Solanum lycopersicum: one gene and its partner. The protein of the gene in region 1 interacts with the protein of each later gene in a biochemical or structural test. Links are inferred from orthologs where the notes say so. Each region holds a gene or a part of one and is shown on either strand. Other genes may lie near its edges.

The links.
Region 2: the proteins of homeobox-leucine zipper protein REVOLUTA (region 1) and DTM form a complex in vitro, tested with the Arabidopsis thaliana proteins (2 studies listed by BioGRID). The link is inferred for Solanum lycopersicum from reciprocal best matches to the Arabidopsis thaliana genes REV and ZPR3.

The regions. Positions count from the first base shown.
Region 1 is NC_090810.1:59,494,138-59,496,702, reverse strand, and holds the end of homeobox-leucine zipper protein REVOLUTA, read right to left. Parts: coding exon 2,531-2,565; intron 2,460-2,530; coding exon 2,325-2,459; intron 2,229-2,324; coding exon 1,894-2,228; intron 1,625-1,893; coding exon 1,519-1,624; intron 1,251-1,518; coding exon 1,101-1,250; intron 949-1,100; coding exon 796-948; 3' UTR 570-795; downstream 1-569. UniProt on the Arabidopsis thaliana protein: Probable transcription factor involved in the regulation of interfascicular fiber (cortical cells) and secondary xylem differentiation in the inflorescence stems. Required for lateral shoot meristems (LSMs) and flower meristems (FMs) initiation.
Region 2 is NC_090808.1:3,533,395-3,536,978, forward strand, and holds DTM (protein LITTLE ZIPPER 3), read left to right. Parts: upstream 1-1,534; 5' UTR 1,535-1,632; exon of another isoform or gene 1,633-1,687; intron 1,688-1,755; exon of another isoform or gene 1,756-1,774; intron 1,775-2,091; exon of another isoform or gene 2,092-2,223; intron 2,224-2,430; 5' UTR 2,431-2,434; coding exon 2,435-2,701; 3' UTR 2,702-3,036; downstream 3,037-3,584. UniProt on the Arabidopsis thaliana protein: Competitive inhibitor of the HD-ZIPIII transcription factors in shoot apical meristem (SAM) development. Acts by forming non-functional heterodimers. Part of a negative feedback loop. Involved in SAM development and lateral organ patterning.

The DNA of each region.
Region 1 (2,565 bases):
GCTCTCAAGGAATTAGAAACGACGCCAAAATATCTTGTAAAAGTACTGCCTTTTGTTTTGATGTTGTAAAATTTTGTCTAGATAATCAATGTCCCAGAAAAACATGCAATTGCTACTGCAGTGTGTAAATACTGATTGCGTAAAGCAGGTTAATGTGGGTAATTGAGCTGTGCTCTAACTCTGTTGCTGGATATAAAGGATTGCACATAAATTGTTTGATACTGAAAATGCCATCATTTAGCCATTCTTCCTAGCATATTTCACTTGGTACCTCTCCGTCTTAATTTACGTAACACTATTTTGATTAAGCTTAGAGATAGTGAATCACTGTGACTAACCAGAGATATGAGCTATATAAATTTTGACAATAGGTATATGTAATGTTAAATCTACAGTACATGTAAAGGTGATCGAGTTGGTTGAACATGAACGAATACCACTACATGCTTTCTAAATCAAGCTTGATAACTTGATTTATCCAAAGGGATAGCGGTTGTGAGTTACCTTGTATAAATAATAAACTTTCTGAACTAGAAAAAAGGAAAAATATAACATTCAGAAACAAGCAATTTCACTCGAAAAAAAACAAAAACAAAACTGCACTAAAAAGATTTACACAAGAGTATCAAGAAATCAAGAAATGAAATACACCTTCCAGTCTAATTAAATTAATGCAGAAGAAACTGGGAATTTTACATATTACAAAAAATTTCGTTTGTCCCCTCATTCAACTGTGTTCCTGGCTATCAGTATTCTGTGAGAAAGGTCGAAAAAGAAAAAAAAAATATGATAGCATTACACGAATGACCAGTTGATAAACGAAAAGGCCAAACAGTGGACAGCATTTTCTTCAGACGATGCAAACACTTTCCACGCGATAGCTTGTTCATATGAAATATGTCGTCCCATTGTTGACATGCAGATACCACCAGGCAAACACGCGAAACCCTGTGCTCAAGAAACAACAGTGGGAAAAAAGAAGTAGTCAAGACGAAAACAGCCTCAACTTTGGTCTTTTGGCTCTGCAATAGCCCGTGGATCAAACCATTATACTAGATGACATCAGAATAGCCAACAGAATGTCAAGAGTAGCTAATTACCTGTTCCATAATCTTGGCAAATTCTGAGAGCAACACTTTCCTTCCGGATTCATCAAATATCTTATCTAGAGAAATGTCCTGTAATGCAACTAATGTTGTCTCCAGCATGTCGAGTCCGGCCTTATTAGCAAAAATGAAAACTGGCAGCGACTGCAACAACAGAGAGAACATCATCAACTTACTGACACGTTCTTGTAAAAAGATAAAAGACTAGAAACGTGACGAGAATATTTAATGTGGGGAAGTCAAAAAAATGTCTGGAACACTAATGAGGACAATTAAACGCCAATCAGATAAGTTCTCCTTTATGTATATGTTCAGGCTTCATAGCAACAATAACATACAGCATTTCTTAATTACAATTTCGTTATATCCACACGAGTTCATAAATAAATTCTGTAGCAAAAGAACTTCATACCTTCAATGAGCAGCACAAAATTGCATCCTGGTGTTGCCAGAGATTCTTTAGTACTGATTCATCGCCACTAGAATCAGCTCGAAGTAACTCTGTTCCCATGTGATAACTGGAGATAAAATGCAAAAGAAAATGGAATGTTAACAATCCGACAAGCACTTCTAATGTCTTATCCCAATAAGTTGAGAAAAAAAAAATTCTCAAATAATCGACAGTATCTCACTCTTACTGAAAATCAGAGATGCAGTAAGCCAAAACTAGCAAGCATGATCATGCACATGAAAAGCAAAACGTTGCGCAGAACAGAAGGGAACAAGTGTCACCATGATCAAGAAATCATCAAGGCTCACAAGACTATTACAGTTGTGAGGACCTTACCTATAGCTCTGGCAGATCCAATGCGACAATGTTACAGCTTCTGGTGAGCCTGGAGAAAGCTTGGCCCCCAGTGTAGGATTCATTCCCGTAGGAGATATTGCCATGGCAACTCGTTGGACAGACGAAACCACACTGCGAACATACTGTCGGGCCATGGTAGCCACATTGTCCTGAAGATTGTCCTCAAATGGAAATTGGAAAGCGATTGTCAGTACAGATCGTGCACTGTAACAAGAAGCTGCATCTCCAGTAGTCGAGTTTGTTGCTGGGCCCACTTCAAGACTTGATGCTAGATCTAATGTTCTATGTGCGTTCAACGTATCCTGGGCATCACCCTGAGTAATAAAATCAGAAGTCATGCTGTAATGTAAATGTTCAACTCAGCTCATTCTCTAAATTCAATGGAGTTGTGGATGAATAATTTACTCAACTGATTTTGATTCGAGAGGAATAATGCGAAATCCGGAGGGAAGCAAAGGTGCATCATCAGGAAACATCTCATCAATAGGGGCAAAAACTAGTTCAGAACAGGCTCCAACTGCATTCTCATCAGTGCCACTACACATCTGGAAATGATTGTTGTCTTAGCATATCCTTCAAGAATGTTTGTGAAACATCAAAGTAAAGGCTGAAGTACCTGTAAAAGGTGAATATCTCTTGGCATAAAAGCAT
Region 2 (3,584 bases), on another chromosome or scaffold:
CATATATGTTAAATATATTTAAAAATTACCTTATTTTGTCCAATTTTGATTCCTAACATAAGAATCAAATTAATACACAAACAAACCTCTTTTTAGCCACAATAGTAAGGTTCCAAATTCCAAATTTGCCTCTCAAAACCACCAACTACAATCTAGATAATAGAGTTTCAATTAGATAAACATTTCATCATTTTAATTAATTAAATATTTTCCGTTCAAATATCCAATATGAAACTACATTAAAATGGAGCTTTACTCCTAATATATCATAATACTTTTCATACATAATCAGATCTGATATGAATATCAAATATCGATTAATTTTTTTTTAAATGGCAAATGAGTCTAAGTTAATACAATGAATGTTTTAGATGAAATTTCTATAAAGAGGACAAAAGAAGAATTATGTAAAATAGAAAAAATTAAAAATTAAAAATTTAATCATGGTTAGAGGGGGTGGGGGGTAAAAGGGGGGTAGGGGTGTGGATGTGATGATGGGCCTGTCTTGGTTCGAACCAATCCAAAACATCATTGCGAATCTTTGGAAGGCCAAACCCCTATCATCATTGGACACACTTTTGAATTGCCCAAAATGCCCATATTAAGGCCCAAATCTCTATATGAAATGACAAAAATACCCTTATTGTCTTTTATAAAAAAACTCAAATGCCCTTTAACTATAATCATTCAATTGACTCCATCACTTTAGTCTAAAAAAAACACTATAATCATCATCATAGTAGAATGGAACAAGGTTAAATCCTTTCCAATATATGGATAATATCTCAATTTAAGTTATATACATCGATAATATCAGTAAATTTTAATAAATATTTTAATTATAAAAATAATATGTACATTTTATTAAAATTTAAAATCAATCACTATTCATGACAGATTTAGAGTTCAACCTACGAGTTATACATCAGAACAAAAAAAAAACATTTAACAATTACTTCCAATCTTATCACCATAAAATAGTCATTTTCAAAATAAAATTTCAAGAATGTCATTGAGTTTTACATGTATAATTCAAAATCCAAAAAGAAAAAATTCTATTACAGAACTCGAAAAATGACTTAGTTATAACTAAGGAAACTCAATAACTCTCCTAAACCTTGTGCAACTTACAAATTCATCTGTTTCAATTTATTTTTCTGATTTTGATTTGATATAATATGAAAAAAAACAAAATTAAATCTTACGATTATAAACTAAAAAAATACGTAAAATGTGATATATAAAAGTTAAAATTACCATAATAATTCATAAATTTCAAATTCTGAATCCGTGAGTCCGTAATCATTACCATAGTAGAATGAAAGAAGGTGGTTTGAAGTCCTTGCCTATAGATACAACAACTATATACAATTATACACAAGCCGCCTTCCATGCTTACACATGCATGATTGTTGTGCAGATAGAAAAAGAGATACAAAAAGCTTTGTCCCCCCCCCACCCCACCCCCACCCCACCCCCAAAGATTTACTTAACTTTTTCCACTATATATATCTCTTGTTTTTACTGCCCAAGAAGTATAAGTTGTTGTTTGTTGTAAGTGATAAACTCACCAAACAAAATCTTCTTTCTTCTTCTAGCTACTATACTTCTTGTTCTATAACTAACCAAAAGGTAATCTTTTTTGAAAAAATCAAGAATCCACCCCACCCCACAACCACAAAAATTGGTACATTTTTTTCTCTTTTAAAGTTTACAACTTTTGAAAACTTTCTTATTCCTTTTGTCTCCTCACATAAACTAAAATTGTCAAAAGGTCATGTTTTTATGTCTTCTTGAAACTTTTTTTTTTTTTTAAATTTCATTGCATGTTCAACTTGGGAATATAATAAATTCCCCCCCCCCCCCCCCTTTTTTTTTTCTTTTTTTTTTCTTTGTGTGTGTAAATAAGAAGTTTGTCTCTTGTTATATACTTTATATATTCTTGTCTTCCAAGTGAGGTAAACAATAAGAAAAAAAAAAAGTACCAATTCTTGAAAGTGTGAAGATTTGGAGATTTTGTTTTTCCTTATTCTATTTGCTTTTTTTGTTGTTACAATTTTTTTTATTTTTTCTAAATTTTTGATCATTTGTTTTTCTTTGCAATTGTAATGATTTCTCCTACTATACTTTCTTTTACACATTCTCATTAATTCCCTCCCTATGCATATCATCATTTCCTTTTCTTTTTTTTCCCCCCCATTTTTCTCAAGCTCTTCTTTGTAGGTAAATCATAAATGATTCAATAGTTTTTATAACTTTGTTATAACATGTTAGTTAAGTATCATGTACCCTTTAAACATTTTGTCACACATGTATCAAATTCCTTAATATTCGATACAATGTCAGATTCTTCAAAACTTTCGTCGTACATTTTTTCAAGACTCCGAACAACATACTCATGATTTTTTTATTTTTTTAAATTTTTTGCAGGAAAATGGACAGAATTAACTCAAAGCTCTACTTGCAAAATTGCTACATAATGGCTGAAAATGAAAGGCTAAGGAAAAAGGCAGAGTTATTGAATCAAGAAAATCAACAACTTTTGAGTGAACTAAAACATAGGTTATCACAAGCTGGTCCTAGCAACAACAATAATAATAACAACAACAATGGTGGAGGAAAAAACAATTCAATTCCTGATCTTAATCTCACAAATTGTTCTTCATCCAAGAATGCTTCATCAAAATCCAAGAAAAAGTGAAAACAAAAAAAAAATTATTTGAAGGGGTCCAATCTAGTCATTGAACTAATATTATGTTACTTCTTTTTAAAAAAAAAATTTATTTTGGGGGTGTTAAATATTATTAGTATTATAGTAAGGGGGTCAAAAAAAAAGTAGGAAGTTATGGTTGTTGGTGTTTTTTTTTTTTTAGTTATATAGGTTTAGAGGAATTAAGGAATATATGGGGTTTTTTTTTTGTCTGTGTTTAAATATTTTGTTTTAGTATGTGGGGTTAGTTCTGTTTTGGAGCCAAGAAGTTGTAAGCAAATCTATTAGCTATATATATAAAAGAAATATAAAATATGGTTCCTTTATATAGTTTCTCTCTTTAATTATCATTTTTTGTTTCATTTTATTGTGCTTAAATTCAAAATTCTGTTTCGGAATATATTTGTTATGGCAAAAATTTGAATTTTGTGAGTAAAATAAAATATTATTTCAAAAATCGACCCAATATTAGTATGTCTAAACATAAAACTTTGAAGATTAAACATGAAACTTTTAAAAATTTATGTTTAAACAGATATTTGAAGATTAATCTGATTCAAAAATCTACCATCAAAGCTAACAATTAATTTTTTTTTCTTACTAAAAAAGAGTGATGATATTGGCCAATTGTAATTCATTAACTGTAATTCTTAGTGTTTGTCTTTTAATTAAAAAAAATATAGGAATAAATAATGTTAGCATAAGATGAAAGAAACAAAAATGTGATCTTTTGATTCACAACATATTATTTTGCATAATTTACTTGAAAATAGAAATATAATGAATGAATTTTAAAATTAGTTTTAAAAAAAAAAACAGAGGCCTTTCTTGGCTAGCTGTCTTGAAGTTTTTTGCTAACATTATAAATCAATTA